Callithrix jacchus: one gene and its partners. Each later gene encodes a partner of the first gene's protein in a complex. Links are inferred from orthologs where the notes say so. Each region holds a gene or a part of one and is shown on either strand. Other genes may lie near its edges.

What was found.
Region 2: TERT (region 1) and GAR1 share a complex: the UniProt entries of both Homo sapiens proteins name them as parts of the telomerase holoenzyme complex. The link is inferred for Callithrix jacchus from reciprocal best matches to the Homo sapiens genes TERT and GAR1.
Region 3: TERT (region 1) and WRAP53 share a complex: the UniProt entries of both Homo sapiens proteins name them as parts of the telomerase holoenzyme complex. The link is inferred for Callithrix jacchus from reciprocal best matches to the Homo sapiens genes TERT and WRAP53.

What each region holds. Positions count from the first base shown.
Region 1 is NC_133503.1:204,792,184-204,798,138, forward strand, and holds the start of TERT (telomerase reverse transcriptase), read left to right. Parts: upstream 1-2,455; 5' UTR 2,456-2,544; coding exon 2,545-2,763; intron 2,764-2,858; coding exon 2,859-4,179; intron 4,180-5,955. UniProt on the Homo sapiens protein: Telomerase is a ribonucleoprotein enzyme essential for the replication of chromosome termini in most eukaryotes. Active in progenitor and cancer cells. Inactive, or very low activity, in normal somatic cells.
Region 2 is NC_133504.1:87,423,600-87,428,705, reverse strand, and holds the end of GAR1 (H/ACA ribonucleoprotein complex subunit 1), read left to right. Parts: intron 1-286; exon of another isoform or gene 287-409; intron 410-1,560; coding exon 1,561-1,702; intron 1,703-3,085; coding exon 3,086-3,157; intron 3,158-3,546; coding exon 3,547-3,560; 3' UTR 3,561-3,864; downstream 3,865-5,106. UniProt on the Homo sapiens protein: Required for ribosome biogenesis and telomere maintenance. Part of the H/ACA small nucleolar ribonucleoprotein (H/ACA snoRNP) complex, which catalyzes pseudouridylation of rRNA.
Region 3 is NC_133506.1:74,174,242-74,180,218, reverse strand, and holds the start of WRAP53 (telomerase Cajal body protein 1), read right to left. Parts: upstream 3,410-5,977; 5' UTR 3,075-3,409; coding exon 2,644-3,074; intron 2,507-2,643; coding exon 2,408-2,506; intron 1,829-2,407; coding exon 1,717-1,828; intron 1-1,716. UniProt on the Homo sapiens protein: RNA chaperone that plays a key role in telomere maintenance and RNA localization to Cajal bodies. Specifically recognizes and binds the Cajal body box (CAB box) present in both small Cajal body RNAs (scaRNAs) and telomerase RNA template component (TERC).

The DNA of each region.
Region 1 (5,955 bases):
ACAGAATCCACTCTGTCTCTTTTTGTTAATTTGTTTTAGATGGAGTTCCACTCTTGTTGCCCAGGCTGGAGTGCAATGGTGCCATCTCGGCTCACTGCAACCTCCGCCTCCCAGGTTCAAGCGATTCTTCTGCCTCAGCCTCCCAAGCAGCTGGAATTACAGGTGCCTGTTACCACGCCCAGCTAATTTTTTTTGTATTTTTAGTAAACACAGGGTTTCACCATGTTGGCCAGGCTGGTCTTGAACTCCTGACCTCAGGTAATCCACCTGCCTTGGCCTCCCAAAGTGCTGGGATTACAGGTGTGAGCCACTGCACACAGCCCAGAATCCACTCTGTTTAGAAATATCTGGGTCTGAAAGAGGAAGCTCACCCCACTCAAGTGTTGTGGGGTTTTAAGCCAATGATAGAATCTGTTTATCTGTTTTTCTTAGAACATTCTTTTTTTTTTTTTTTTTTTTGAGACAGTCTTGCTCCTTCGCCAGGCGCCAGGCTGGAGTGCAGCGGTGCAATCTTGACTCACTGCAATTCTTGGGTTCAAACCATTCTCCTGCCTCAGCTTCCCAGGTAGCTAGCTGGGACTATAGGTGAGCGCCACCACATCCAGCTAATTTTTGTATTTTTAGTACAGACAGGGTTTCACCATGTTGGCCAGTATGGTCTCCATCTCTTGACCTCGTGATCCGCCCACCTCGGCCTCCCAAAGTGCTGGGATTACAGGCAGAGCCACCGGGCCGGCCTCTTAGAACATTCTTAATGTTTTCCGTTGTGATGACTGAGACAGCATCAGCTTTTCAAAGATAGACCAACTGCACCCATAATACTGGGGCGTCTTCGATTTTCACTGAAAGCTGGGAGACCTCTCCTCCTCCTGGACGTGGTGTCAGTCACTCCAGTGTAATCTTCCGCCTGAGTTTCTTCTATTCCCTCTTTTAAAATTAGGTTTTCTGTGTTGGTTTCTCTGGGGGAACCAGAGTAAGCTACAACTTAACTTTTGTTGGAACGAATTTTCCACATCAGCCCCTTTGCCCGAGTCCAGTGACAATTCACAAACACAGCCCTTTAAAAAGACTTTGGATTCACTAAGGGGATTTCTAGAAGAGCAACCTGTAATCCTAAGTATTTACAAGGTGAGGCGAACCCCTAGCGAGTGTGATGGCTCAGGGAGGGCGCGAGGCCTGTTCAAATGCTAGGCCCATAAATAAAGCAATTTCCGCCCACACTCTCGGAAAGTAGGAAAGGTTACATTGAAGGTTGCATCTGTTAGCATTTCAGTGTTTGCCGACCTCAGCTACACGCTCCCCGCAAAGCCTCTGGAGACCCAGAAGTTTCTTACCTCCTAGATGCAAACTTGAGCAGCCGGAGTTGGGGCTCGGGGAAGTCCTCGGCTGTGCCCGGGCCCTGGGTCTGCAGGGGCCCAGCGGCTGCGTGGCTTCCTCAGCTGGGCTGGAGGTCGGGCCTTCTGGTTCAGCGGTCCGAGGCTGTAGCCAGGTGCCCGGACCCCCGAGGCTGCCCTCCTCCCTCTGCGGGTGGGAGTGACCGGAGTTTGGCCTCAGCTGGTGGACACCGCGCCAGGGCCCAGGGTAAAGGCAGCTGCGGCAGGTGTGAGGCCCCCAGTGCCGGGCCAGAGGAGCACCTGACTGCATGTCCCACCCTTCCTCGACGCGACGGCCCGGTGGGTGAACAGATCTGAGGTGGTTTGCTCATGGTGGGGACCCCTCGCGGCCTAAGAACCTGCAAAGAGAAAAGGAGACCAAGTCGCGGGGAAGTACTGCCCGTGGGCAGGGAGGCGCTCCGAGAGCCCCGCGTGCCCGTCCCGGGAGCGCTGTGCCCTGGGGGTCGTCCCCAGCCGCGTCTACGCGCTTCGGTCCTCCCCCGGAGCCCTGCATTCCCAGGGCCGGGAGCCCGCCGCCCTGCTTCTTCCCGACGTTCCCCGTCCGGACCGGGGGACAGCCCTGGCTCTAGGGGTCGGGCCCATCTGGGAAAGCCATGAAGTGAGCGCCCCACGCACCTGTGCCCAGGGCCACCGCCCCTCCCTCGGGTTACCCCGCGCTTGGGCTGACGTCACCCCTCTCTGCGGGGCCCTCGCTGGGGTCGCTGCACCCTGCGAGCGGCGGCGGCGCGCGGGCGGGAAGCGCGTCCCAGACCCCCGGGTCCGCACGGAGCAGCTGCGCGGTCGAGGCCAGGCCAGGCCGGGATCCCGGTGGATTCGGGGGCGCAGACGCCCGGGACTGCGCTGCCCACGTGGCGGAGGGAGAGGGACCCAGGCTTCCTAAACCCGGCCCGCCCCCGCCCTCACCTAGCTCCGCCGACTCCGCGCGGACCCCGCCCCCGTCCCCGTCCCGACCCCTCCCCGTCCCCGGTCCCCGGCCCCGCCCCCTCCGGCCCTCTCCGCCCCCTCCCCTCCAGCCCCGCCCCTCACTCTCCGGCCCCGCCCCTTCCTCTCCGCGGTCCCGCCTTCTCTTGGGGCGCAGGTTGGAGGCTGACCGCGCCGCGTCTTGCTGCGCACGTGGGACGCCGCGCTCCGGCCCTTGCAGTCCACCGCGATGCCGCGCGCGCCACGCTGCCGAGCCGTGCGCTCCCTGCTGCGCAGCCGCTACCGCGAGGTGCTGCCGCTGGCCACGTTTGTGCGGCGCCTGGGGCCCGAGGGCCGGCGGCTCGTGCAGCGCGGGGACCCGGCGGCTTTTCGCGCGCTGGTGGCGCAGTGCCTGGTGTGCGTGCCCTGGGACGCACGGCCGCCCCCCGCCGCCCCATCCTTCCACCAGGTGGGGTACCCGGGGTCCGCGTCCGGCGCGGGGGTGGGAGCGGAGCGGCGCGCGCACCCCCGGCGGGCGACTCAGGGCGCTTCCCCCGCCCGCAGGTGTCCCCCCTGAAGGAGCTGGTGGCCCGGGTGCTGCAGAGGCTTTGCGAGCGTGGCGCGAGGAACGTGCTGGCCTTCGGCTTCGCGCTGCTGGATGGCGCCGGCGGCGGCCCCCCCGAGGCCTTCACCACCAGCGTGCGCAGCTACCGGCCCAACACGGTGACCGAGACGCTGCGCGGCAGCGGGGCGTGGGCGCTGCTGCTGCGCCGCCTGGGCGACGACGTGCTGGTTTACCTGCTGGCGCACTGCGCGCTCTACGTGCTGGTGGCTCCCAGCTGCGCCTACCAGGTGTGCGGGCCGCCGCTGTACGAGCTCCGCACTGCGCCCGAGCCCCGGCCCGCGCCACACGCGGCTGGGACGCGAAGGGGCCTGGGACGCAAACGGGCCTGGAGCAGCAGCGTCAAGGAGCCCGGGGTCCGCCTGGGCCTGCCAGCCCCGGGTGAGAGAAGGCGCCGGGGCAGCGCCAGCGTAAGTCCACCGTGGCCCAAGAGGCCCAGGTGTGGGCCTGCCCTGGAGCCGGAGCGGACGCCTGTGGGGCAGGGATCTCGGGCGCACCCCGGCAGGACACGTGGACCGAGTGGCCACGGTTTCTGCGTGGTATCACCTGTGGGAGCAGCCGAGGAAGCCCCTGGCGCATGCCACTCGTACCCATCAGCGGGCCACCAGCCCGGGGCGGGGCCCCCATCCAAATCGCGGTCACCGCAGCCCCGGGACACGCCATGTCCCCTGGTCTATGCCGAGACCAAGCACTTCCTCTACTCTTCGGGTGCCCAGGAGCGGCTTCGGCCCTCCTTCCTACTCAGCGCCCTGCGCCCCAGCCTGACGGGCGCCCGCAGGCTCCTGGACACCATCTTTCTGGGTTCGAGGCCAGGGACGCCCCGCAGGCTGCCCCGCCTGCCCCAGCGCTACTGGCAGATGCGGCCCCTGTTTCTGGAGCTGCTCAGGAACCACGCGCGGTGCCCCTACGGGGCGCTCCTCAAGACACACTGCCCACTGCGGACTGCGGTCACCCCGGCGGCCCGTGTCTGTGCCCAGGAGCCCCTGGGTTCTGTGGCAGCCCCCGAGGAGGAGGACACAGACCCTCGTCGCCTGGTGCAGCTGCTCCGCCAGCACAGCAGCCCCTGGCAGGTGTACAGCTTCCTGCGGGCCTGCCTTCGCCGGCTGGTGCCTCCCGGCCTCTGGGGCTCCAGGCACAACGAGCGTCGCTTCCTCAGGAACACCAAGAAGTTCATCTCTCTGGGGAAGCATGCCAAGCTCTCGCTGCAGGAGCTGACCTGGAAGATGAGCGTGCGTGACTGCGCTTGGCTGCGCAGGAGCCCAGGTGAGGAGAGGGTGGCCGTCGAGGTCCCAGGCCCCAGAGCTTAATGCAGAAGGGGTTCAGAAAAGAGGGCAGGCAGAGCCCTGGTCCTCTGGTCTGCATCACGTGGGCACACGTGGCTTCTTGCTCAGGACGTCAGTGGACGTGGTGATCTCTGCCTCTGCGCTCTCTCTCCCGTCCAGTTTGCATAAAGCTATGAGGTTCGCCTTCAGGTTTTTTATGGACGTGCAGTTTCCAGGCGCTGAGGCCAGAGCAGTGAACAGACGGGGCGGGGCGTGCTGTGGAGCTGGGGTGCTCACAAGGTGGGGAAGCGGGTGGAAGCACAGACACTCTTGGCAGAGTGCCTGCAGGTTACCTATAATCCCCTTCACGATTTCAAGGATAGGAATGGGAGTTGAGGACAAAAACTCCCTCTTCCTGGGGTGGGAGGGAAGGGTTTTGCAGGTGCACATGGTCAGCCAATATGCAGGTTTGTATTTAAGATTTAATTGTGTTGGTGGCTCACATCTGTTATCCCAGTACTTTCGGAGGCAGAGGCAGGTGGATCACCTGAGGTCAGGAGTTCGAGACCAGCCTGGCCAACATGGCGAACGCCCATCTCTACTAAAAATGCAAAAACCAATTGGGCACGGTGGCGTGTGCCTGTAATCCCAGCTACTCAGGAGGCTGAGGCAGAAGAATCACTTTAACCCGGGAGGTTGCAGTGAGCTGAAATGGTGCCATTGCACTCCATCCTGGGTGACAAGAGTGAAACTGTCTCAAAAACAAAACAAAAAAATGGTGCATTGATTCTGCCAGGACAGAGTAGAGGGAGGGAGATAAAGAAGGCTGTCCTCCAGCACAGGTCCTGGTCCTGTCTGTAGGAGTGAAGAAGGCCACGTGGGAGCAGAGGACAGCAGATGGCTCCTGCTCAGGGAAGGGACGGTGCTGTGGGTGTTCGGGGGACAGTGCTGCTGGGTCCTGCCGTGTCCCCGCTCTGTTTTTCTGGGTTTGATGTGGAGGCACCTCTGCTGCACCCCCCTGTTGGCTCCCAGCACTCCCAGGCCTTGCAGTGGCAGCCGGAACAGGCCCTCCTCCTCACAAAATCCCAAGACATCGAAGACTTCCGGAAGTAGGGCCCTGGCAGAGACCATGTCTGCAGAGCCGTCCGCCCATGCTGGCTTCTCATTAGAGTCGCCTGTGGTGGGGGCTTTCATTCCTGGTCCCGTTCAGGAAGACCCTCGTGGCAGCGGCCTGTGCACCTGTTCTGCCAGCACCGCGGCGGGTGCGTAGCTTCCTGTGGCTGAGCCGCTGTTCAGGTTCCCTTAGGGTCCCGGGACTGGCTGGAGGAGGGTGACCACTTTCCTGGGGCTCTTTTTTATGATGGCAAAAATCATACAATGTGAGATTGGCCCTCCTAGCACGATCTTCCGTGTACAGTGCAGAATTGCTAACTTGGCCTAGTGTCTACAACAGGTCACTCAAACTGCTACGTCTTGCATGACTGAAGTCCCTAACCTGTTGAACAGCAGTTGCCTGCCACGTGCTGTGGCTCCGGTGGCCACACCGAGTCGGATAAGCAGTCGTGCCACCCGTTCTAGCTTCCTTCGAGGGAGGAGAGTTTGAGTGCTCTGATCAGGAATCTGCCTGCCATCATTGCTGTTCTCTGATTTTAGATGAGGTCACAATCTGCCCCTGGCTTGTGCAGGGAGTGAGGCTCTGTCCCAGGTGTCCCTGTCGTGTGTGGGTGAGTTTTGGTCCTGGGTGTCCTTGGCTTTTGCTCTCTTGTGCTATGCTTCT
Region 2 (5,106 bases), on another chromosome or scaffold:
AATAGCTTGTTGTTAGCTTATGCCTGCTAGTTGTGGAAACCTTGGCAAGTACTCACAGGAAATTGCTTCAGGTGTGCCTGGAGCTGTTGAGCCCAGAAAGAAACAATGCTGAGAAAGGATTTCCATTTTGTGACCTGAAAAAAAACTGCTGGTAATAGCCACTTAAATTGATTGGAATCCCTCTCCCTTTTCTCAGAATTATTTATTTGAGGGCTTATTATTTAGTTTTTTCGGTTTTTGTTTTTTAACTACAGGTATTAACTTGAGTACATTCTACCTCTCCCAGTTTCCATACCCCCTGCTATGTTGAGATTCAGCCCTCCTTACCCAGCCTGCGTTATTACGAAGTCTGTAGACCAGTGCCCTCTACTTGAACTTTCTGCAGTGATGGAAATCCCTGCCCAGTAAGGTAGCTCTTAGTGACATGTAGCTTTTGAGCACCTGAAGTGTGGCTCATGTAACTCAGGAACTGAATTTTTAATAATTAAATATAAGTAGCCACCTGTGGCTCATGGCTACCACATGGAACAGTGTAGATCTAGATAATATTTTGAGATGATGGGCTATGAAGGGAAGATGAATAATAAGGTGATAGCTAGAGAGGGATTCAGGTATCTTATTCTAAGTAATGTATCACAGTTTTGAAATCCTCATGTGTTTTGTGTAGAAGAACTATGATACAATATGCCCTTTACATTTCATTATCTGAGAAATGTCCTCTTTAGCCCCAATTATGGGATGGGTATAGTTTCTCTATATCCTTCATTACTTTGTGTGTTCAGAAAATAGTTACCCTTTTGATCTTTATTAAAGGCTTGAAACAGCTAGTTTGTGAATGCTTTATTTTGAATTTTAATGCTATGTTTTTTATTTTATTCAAGATAATGCTATGTTTTATTTTTCTTAAGGCAGTTCTTTTGAGTGGAAATGTTAAACCTATTTCTAAAGAGAAATGAGATTGAATTGGTCTTGATTTTTTTATATGCATACAATGCTTATTGTGTGCCAAATTGCAAGTGCCTTATATAGGTCACTTTTGATCATCACACAAACATGTGAGCTAGTTATGTATTCTCTACATTTTACAGATAAAAAAACTAAGGCAAACTGACACAGAAACAGAAAACCAAACACTGCATGTTCTCATTCATAAGTGGGAGTTGAACGATGAGAACACATGGACACATGGTGGGGAACATCACACACCCGGGCATGTTGGGGGGTGGGGGGCAAGGAGAGGGAGAGCACTGGGACAAATACCCAATGCATGCGGGCTTAAAACCTCGATGACAAGTGATAGGTGGAGCAAACCACCATGGCACATGTATACCTATGTAACAAACCTGCACATTCTGCACGTATATCCCAGAACTTAAAATTTAAAAAAAAAGATAAAAGAAAACTAAGGTAGTAAGAAATTAAGTGCTTACCCAGAGATACATTGTGGAAAGAATTAAATTGCAAAACGGAACCCAGTCAGTTTTGACTCTATCATGTAGCTTCTGAATTATTATACTGTCCCCCAAGTCATCACACTAATTGCTTCTATTATGTTTCCAGTTTTATATAGACCCATATAAGCTGCTGCCACTGCAGAGGTTTTTACCTCGACCTCCAGGTGAGAAAGGACCTCCAAGAGGTGGTGGCAGGGGAGGCCGAGGAGGAGGACGAGGAGGAGGTGGCAGAGGTGGTGGCAGAGGTGGTAAGTTACTTGGGGAAAATTTCTGTTGAGATTTTAGAGTCACAGCTAAATTCATATAGTACAATTTAGTTTTGAACATAGCAAACCTCCCTTATGGTAAAGCTGCTTTCAAATATTGACAGATTGTCCATAATAATAATGCTTCATTTCAACAACTTAAACAGAAAAAAAAAAATCTACTGTAGTATACTTTTGAGGGACTTTATTTCTTTGGGTTATTCATGTTTTCTTGGGCATTTTAATAAACCATAAAATCATCTTAATTTTATTATCATTGAGTATAGACTGCATGCTGAAAGCTGGTCATACCTTCTTTTAATTTCTTTGTATATTCTTCTAATCTCAGTGAAACCTTTTGAGATAGATGATATTTTTGTTTTATGAATGAGGAAAACGGAGACTTACAGAAATTAATTTGCCCCCATCAAACAATTGGCAGACCCAGAATTAAAATGCATATCTTCTGATGTCATGTCAAGAACTATTACTAATAAGTTCATTGCTGTGATCTCACTGTTTCCCCAAGGTTTTGGCACATTCATCATTAATTGGCAGCTAGGTGATGAGCAGGGCTCTGGGGAGTGGGGCTGCCATGTCCTGTGAGTAGGGGGAGGGCCAAAGTGGAAAGGGGGAGGAGCTGAAAGTTGGGCTTTTGTTATTGGATCAGAAAAAGAGAAGGAACGATTCGCTTTTGCGTCTCTCAATTTAATCATCATTTCACTCCATAAATGTACTTGTTTGGGTCCATATAGGTAGCAAGGAATATCTTTAAAAAATATCAACATATTTCTCCAATATTTTCAGGGGTACCTTCTTGAGAATTTGATGAATAGAGATTCCCCTATTCTCATTTGAGTATCATTTAACATTTCAAAAAATTCACAACTATCTTATTTTTAAAAAATCTTACCTATGTAGCTCAATTAGCCTTAACTATCATATTTATTATCATGCCCCCAGAGCAAAAGCACCCATAGGTGCCACCCTTTGTTCTTAGGATAAAAAGCCTTCATTCCATCAAACTATCCTTCGTTGAATCAAAAAGTCTTTATCATAAGCAAGAACTAAGGTGATAATTGTACATTTAACAAGACTGAATTATACTTTAAAGTAGCAGGTTTTCTAATTTATTGAAATGGAATACTTGTTTAAAAGGAATCTAGGGTTTTAGCCTGTTGCCAAGTTGGTAAACTACAGTCCCTCCATTTTTATCTTCTAAAATTTTTTCCATGATAAAATATGTGAATATTCATTGTAATTATAGTTATTGTATTGATGTTTGTAGGCTTATCAGCATAAGAGGTTATATAGTTAATAACTGTTCATGTTTATTATTTATATTATTTAAATATTTTGCATTATTATTTAATACATGTTTTTTAGGTGGTTTTAGAGGTGGAAGAGGAGGTGGAGGTGGGGGCTTCCGAGGAGGAAGAGGGGGAGGTGGTTTCAGAGGTGAGTATCTTAAAAAGTCTTTAAATTGCTTGATTTTTAGAATTGATACTAAACAGGCATTTTCTGTTTTTGTTTCAGTTTATTTTTCTCTGCTAGCAAGTATGTAGCACACCGTGATGTTCTTTGCTTAGCCTAATTTGTGGCTTTATTTTATATCACTTTTTGTTTTGCCTTTTCCTTTCAATTTTTTTCACCTAATTCTAATTTGGTTTTGCTTAATTATTAATTTAAAAAATGAAAGTGTAATATGAATGACAGTTAAATTGGGTAAAATATGTTTGCTAAACATTATAGAAACTAATGCTGATTTTAAACTTGAGTTTTAGGTTATAATACTATTAAGAAATCCATTTTCTGTGCCCTTAATACTTCAATTTTCTCTTAATTAGGGAGAGGACATTAAGTGAAATGGTTGACAGACATCACCAGTTGACTTCTGCATAAACCTGTGTCATCTGTTTCTACTGTGGATTGGAAACTTGTTTCTTGAGCAAGTCTTGAAGATCTTGGTCGTTTTATGACAATGGATCTAAAATGTCAGCATTATGCCAAGTACAACGGAATAGTGAATTTTGCTCTAAAAGAGCATGAACAAATCTTTTTAATGTTTTGTATAGTGCCTGGCACTCTGTGGGTGCTTAATAAATGGACAGGAGTTTTCATTTGAAGCATATTTGAATTTTTAAAATAAAGTGTTTATTCCCTTATTTAGAGTGTGTTTATTAAAGAAACCCATTTTTTGAAGTAGAAAGGAACAACTAAAGCTTAAACCCAGTGAATTGCAGATTAAAAAAAGGTTTCTTTTCAATCCTTTTTGATTCTATTTGATCTTTGAAAAAATAGGCTACTAGAGCAGTACTTTATTTACAAATTAATACCCCCTTTCAAAACCCTGGCCTTTTACATATGAGAACATAGCTCTGTGTTTCCCTTTTGTGTTTTAATACATAAATCCGTTAAGCTGTTTCTCTAATTGCATTTAATTATTGATTTAAAAATTTTCCATATTAGCAATGTATTGAAGGTGGAGTAGCTCTGTTTAAGTGAAAACTGTAGTTCAAGAAATTTCTAAAGAAACGGTCAATTTTTCTCAGCCAACATAAATGGAATATTAAAGGTTTTATTGAATGTTATTTCACTTTTACTTTTTTAAAGGGACTCTAAAAGTTTAAGGTGTTATTTACTATACGTGAATATCGATTGCATACCACATGTTCAAATTGCTGGGTAATGATGTTAAAAATGAAATTGGTTTTGGTCACTGTTGCTAGTAGCGTGTAAAGAAATGACCATGGTAGCAAGTTACAATGCCATGATACGGAGCTATTTACCCTGCTATTCATTTTGCACTTCTCAGAAGGAGTGATGTTTCTACATCATTTGTTAAATTTTCTAACATGCTTAACCCTTGAATGCTCATTTGAGGAGCATACAGTGTTGTCTATGTCAGTATTTGGGATTTTATCTCTTTTTTTAATTGATAGAATTGTAGCAGGATTAATAAATACATAGGCCATTAATATATATGATGAGTGAATGTGTTGAAAATTACAGTTTTTACAGGAATAGGCAGTTATGCTTTTACAGCTTAGGAGATCATTTGATTTAGAATTGTGGTGATGAAATTTTCATGGAGTGTAGGGCCAGAGTTTTTGCTCTTGGTTTGGAAAAGAAGTTAGTGAGCATTAGAGGGTGATGGCATTGTCCCAAGGGCAAATAGTAATAGTGCAACATTTCTACAGTTTTTTTTTTAAACATTAAAAATAAATCTATAATGGCAATGTTGGATAAAATGTGATCAGTAGACAAACCACTTGCAGATTTCATCTTTTAGCTTATATATATATATCTTTTGGTCATTGGTCATTGGCCATCTTTAAGCTATTATTTCGACATCGTTTCCCTTTTTTTCCTTATAGTTTCTGGTTTTTTTTTTTTTTTTTTGGAGA
Region 3 (5,977 bases), on another chromosome or scaffold:
AAGCGAAACTCCATCTTGAAAAAAAAAATACAAAAAATTAGCTGGTCGTGGTGGCACATGCCTGTAGTCCCAGCTATTCGGGAGGCCGAGGCAGGAGAATCACTTAAACACAGGAGGCAGAGGCTGCAGTTAACCAAGATGCACCACTGCACTCCACCCTGGGCAACAGAGCAAGACTCAACTAAAAAAAAAAAAAAAAGAACAGTTCTGGGTGTTTGTAATATCATTGCCAGTTCCTGGAAAGCTCTTTCCAAAAGTCTTCATGTGACTGACCCCTTATCCTCCTTCAGGGCTTGGCTCAAATGCCTCCTTTTCAAAGAGCTCCTTCCTGACCACTTCATGCAACGTGGGTTCCTCTAGTTAGTCTCTCTTCATTCTGTTTCTTTCCTTCAGAGCGTTTATTATCATCTTGTGCCTGACGCTTGCTAGTTCACATGCATCAGCAACAAGATAATTCCTCTTGTTTGTTGTCTATCTCCCACGCAGAAAGCAAACCAGCCCTTCATCTGTCTTGTCCACCACTTTATCCCAGCACAGTGACTAACACATATCAGTAGTCAATCAATAAATATCTATAGGCCGGGCACAGTGGCTCACACCTGTAATCCCATACTTTGGGAGGCTGAGGCGGTGGATCATCTGAGGTCAGAAGCTCGAGACCAGCCTGGCCAACATGGTGAAACCCCATCTCTACTAAAACTACAAAAGTAAGTCAAACGTGGTGACGCATGCCTGTTGTCCCAGCTACTCAGGGGCCTAAGTCAGGAGACTCATTTAAACACAGAGGTGTCACCACGGCACTCCAGCCTGGGTGACAGAGCAAGACTCTGTCTCAAAAAAATAGTAAGTAATGCCCAGCACAGTGGTTCACGCCTGTAATCCCAGCTTTGGGAGGCAGAGACAGGTGGATTATGAGGTCAGGAGTTCAAGACTAGCCTGGCCAACATGGTGAAACCCCATCTCTACTAAAAATTCAAAATTTAGCTGGGTATGGTGGCACGTTCCTATAATCCCAGCTACCGGGGAGGCTGAGGCAGGAGAACTGCTTGAATCAGGACCCAGGAAGCAGACGTTGCAGTGAGCTGAGGCAGCGCCACTGCACTCTAGCCTGGGCTACAGAGCAAGACTCCATCTCAAAATAACAGTAATAATAATAAAAAGCCAGGTGCAGTGACTCACATCTGTAATCCCAGCACTTTGGGAGGCCAAGATGGGCGGATCATGAAGTCAAGAGATCCAGACCATTCTGGCTAATATGGTGAAATCCTGTCTCTACTAAAAATACAAAAATTACCTGGGCGTGGTGGCGTGCAGTTGTAATCCCAGCTACTCAGGAGGCTGAGGCAAGATAATCGCTTGAACCCGGGAGGCAGAGGTTGCAGTGAGCTGAAATCACACCACTGCACTCCAGTCTGGGCAACAGAGTGAGAGTCCGTCTCAAAATAATAATAATAATAATAATAAATCTGTAAATACTGCCACAAGAAATTCAATACTTTTTAATAAAAACCCAGATTCCTAATTAAAGAAAAGGGAAACATCTCTCTAAATAACTTCAGAATTCGGACAGAAAATGCTACCCGTGGAAACTCATCTTGAAAAACAGTCCTATTTGTGAACAGGAAACAGGAAATATTTGGACTACACTTTCTCCATCTCCATGAAGGACTTAAATGTGCAGCATTGACAAAGGGGCAGAGTTAGCCCTATCCTTACCATTTCTGCATATTCCATCTGCTCCTCCTCATGGTACAGCTCTGGGGGCAGGTTATAAATTCGCAAGATGTTATCAGCACTGTTGGTCAAGATGCAAGAACCATCAGGGGCCCTAGAAACAGGAGAGAGTTAGAAAGCTGGCCAGATCTACGCTTTTCAAGTGTAGGGCTAGGGCTGCACCTACCTCTGGGGTAGGTAAGCCCCCTGACTCCTTGAGGGAAGCAGAAGACACAAAGACAGAAAATGCTAGATAAAATTTAAGCTCAGGGCCAGGCATGGTGGTTCACACCTGTAATCTCAGCACTTTGGGAGGCTGAGGCTGGCGGATCACCTGAGGTCGGGAGTTCGAGACCAGCCTGACTAACATGGAGAAACCCCATCTCTACTAAAAATACAAAATTACCTGGGCATGGTGGCACATGCCTGCAATCCCAGTTACTTGTGAGGCTGAGGCAGGAGAATCGCTTGAACCCGAGAGGCTGTGGCTGTGGTGAGCAGAGATCACATCATTGCACTGCAGCCTGGGCAACAAGAGTGAAACTCTGTCTCCAAAAAAAAAAAAATCAGGCTGAGTGTAAAAAAGTTACGTGCCCCTTCTTCAGCTCTGGTGTTTCCTTCTCCTAGATAACTGGCATGTTTTACAGTGAAAATTCTGGGGGTGGTCAGATCCCTGCACCGTTATTATCCTTACCATTTACAGCCTTTCAAGAAGTTCTCAGGTTGAGTGCTGAACTCTGACCAGGAACCACTGAGAAATCGAGGCAGCTGGGAGAAGCTGTAGTTCCAAGCGCTAAAAGGAAGATGGAGGACAAAAACGTGGGTCGTTTCTGCAAATGGGGCAGGGGACTGGAGAAGCGGGTCTGAGGACCAGTGGATAGGTCGACCTCATCTCCCCGGACTCCACACTCAACTGCCATCACCACTTACGGGTCTCCCTCGTCATCTGCAGTGGGTTCCCCAGACGCATCTTCCATGGCTTTCCCAGACCCCAACCCTGGCCCGTTCACTTCTTCCTCAAAAAGGCTCCCGTTTGCTTCTTCTGCAGTAAGGCTTCCATTTTCAGAAAGTTCTTGCTTCTCGATTCGAGGACTCATTTCACTAGGAGGACCAAACTCTGTTTCCAGGGGAGTGGAGAGAGAAACTGGGTCCCCCTCCCCTGGCTCCTGGGACACAGCGGAGCCAGCCACGGGATATGGGGACAACCGGGGCGGATCGTCCCTTTCAGAAGGCGGTGGCATCAGTTCAGGGTCCGCATTTTTATCCATCGGGAAAGCGTGAGGAGAAGGATGAGCTGCAGCTGGGTCCTGGTCTGAAGGACAGCAGTCCGGAGCTAACGGTTGCGTCTCCAAAGTCTTCATACTGCAGACGGAGCACAGCGGACATCAACCTCAGTCGGGATGGCCTCGAAGTTCTCAGGAATCCGACTCAGAACTTAAAAACCCCACCTGTGCTTCCTTCCTCTTCTGGGAGGAGGCAGAAGACTCCAGGGAGGAGAGGCGAACAGCGGACGCCAACTTTGAAAGCACGGCGTTCCCTGGCACCGCGGGTCGCTAGGCGCTTCTCGCAGTCGCGGGATTTGGGCCCACCTTCCAAGTGGGCCGCCGCATCACGGATCAGATTTCGCGGGCGACCCTCGGAACCCTCAGAGCCGGGACGTGAAAGGTTAGACAGTTTCCCGTTCCCATCAAGCCTTAGGGCTCCTCGTAGCTGCTGGGAGTTGTAGTCCGAACGCTTCTGTCTTGGCGAGAAGCGCCTGCACTCCCCCTATCGGCTCCCGCGGTAATTTTTAAAGTACCTGTCCCACCCGCCGTCTGCAGAGGGCGCTGCAGGTCTTGCATCTCTTTTGCATCTCATTCTCCAGGCTCTAGACCTGTCTCTCTCCCTTCTTTCAAAAAATACTATCGAGCTCTTACTTGCTCCCCAGCACTGATACAGGCACTGGGAAATACAGCAATGAATAAGATGGGAGAAAAATTCTCATAAGGCTTACGTTTCCATGTACTGAAAGCAATGAACGAATAAATCTTTTCAGAGTGATAAGGGCTGTGAAGGAGATTAAACAAGATGGTGTGATATAAAGTATCTGGGAGAATACGTTAGCCTGAGGTATTAAGGAAAGCCTTCTTTTAAAATGACGTTTTTTAGCTGATGAAAAGAAAGGATCCAGCTGAGAGCAAACGCAAAACCTTTCTTTCTTCAACCCTTCATATTTAACCCAGTGCAGGAGTCCTCCAAAATGGTTTCCACTAATTTTGTCCTCACAGCTCTGGCTTGTAGAATTTTCCCACTCCAAAACATTAGTATCTACAGCACCACCATTTCGGCGAGAACCCTGACTCTCTCTGCACCTTCCTCCCCGACTCTATTTCCTTTACTTCTTCTGGCAGGCGGATTACTTGCCCTTACTTGTCATGGCGACTCTCCAGCTTTGTGCCAGGAGCCTCGCAAGGGTTGATGGGATTGGGATTTTCCCCTCCCATGTGCTCAGACTGGCGCTAAAAGTTTTGAGCGTCTCAAAAGTGTAGAGCCACCCTCCAGGGAGCAGGTAGCTGCTGGGCTCCAGGAACACTTGGCGTCTAGGCTCGGAGCGTGCTTTCGACAGTGACACACTTCCCTGAGGGCTGGGTAAGCTCCTAACTGAACCTGATGAATCCCCTTTGAGTCACGGACTCTGCTCCGTGTATTTTCAGCTCGGGAAAATCGCTGGGGCTGGGGGTGGGGCAGTGGGGACTTAGCGAGTTTGGAGGTGAATGGGATGGAAGCTTGGCTGGAGGGGTCAACATAGGAGTGCAGTGTTGGGAGACCTGAGTGTAGATGATGGCGATGTTAGGACCATCCGAACTCATAGTTGAACGCCTAGGCAGAGGAGTGGGGCTTTGGGGAACCTTGAGCCGGACTAAAAGGTACTTCCTTGCACATCCACCCGGTATTGGGCGTAGGGAATCCCTGAAATAAAAGATGCACAAACCATTGAGGTCGGAGACTTTTGGATCTCCAAATATTGAGAACTCATGGCTGTATGTTTTAGAACCCATGGCATCCTAGTGAAACCTCGGGCTCCATTCCGAAATTATCTTTGGGGGTGATCTGGGAACCCAAGCTGCTAAGGTCCCACAACTTCCGGACCTTTGTCCTTCCCGGAGCGATCTTTCCAGCCGGCCCCCGGCTCCGCCAGATGGAGAAAATCCAATTAAAGGCTGTCAGCCGTGGAAGTGAAAAGTGCTAAACGAGGGGTTCGTCCACCAGGCCAAGGAGGACCGTCCCAATCTGAGGGGCACGGCAGCCCTGTTATTGTTTGCCTCCACATTTACATTTCTGCCGCCTGTAGCAGCATTTCCGGTTTCTTCTGCCGGAGCAGCTCACTATTCACCAGATGAGAGGGGAGGAGAGAGAGAGAAAATGTCCTTTAGGGCGGTTCCTATTACTTGCAGAGAGAGGCTGCTATTCTCCGCCCCACTTTTTTTTTCTGGATTACTTGGTCATGGCCTTTGCAAAGGCTGGGGTATTTGTTTTGATGCAAACTTCAATCCCTCCCCTTCTTTGAATGCTGTGCTCCACCCCGCGCGTCGCCTACAACCTGGGCGGGCGCTACCATGGCATGAGACAGGGAGGGCAAGAAATGCGCAGAAGGCAAACCCGGGGTATTTTCAAGAATGGGTACATCTCATCTTCCTGAAGACAAAAAAAAAAAAAAAAATGGGTACATGTGAGAATGATATTTTGACACAGTACAATGATGGGTCATTTATAATTTCTCAGAAAAACAATCTACCTGTTATCTGGCTTTGGGCTAGGCCATTCCAGTTCCAGACGCAGGCTGAACGTCGTGAAGCGGAAGGGGCTGGCCCGCAGTCGTCCGTGTGGTCCTCTGTGCAGCCCTCCAGGCCCAGCCGGTTCTTCCCGGTGGGAGGCGGAACTCGAATTTATTTCTTCCGCTTCTCCATCTCTTAGCACGTGGTTGTTTCATTCTGCAGTTTCTTCCAATGCACCTGCCGCATACTGGGCATTTTGTGGCTTACTTAGGTCATCTTTTTCCTAAATCGAGGTGGCATTTACACACCGCGTAGTGCACAGACCAAGTGCACAGGAAGATGAGTTTTGGCCCCTAACCACTGCGTGATGCCTGCCAAGTCACAGACACTTTTCATCGTCCCAGAAACGTTTCATCACATCTCTTCCCAGTTGATTTCCGACCCCACCTTTATTTTTATCTCCATAACCATTTTGCCTGTTGGAGAACTTCATATAAAATGGAATCAGG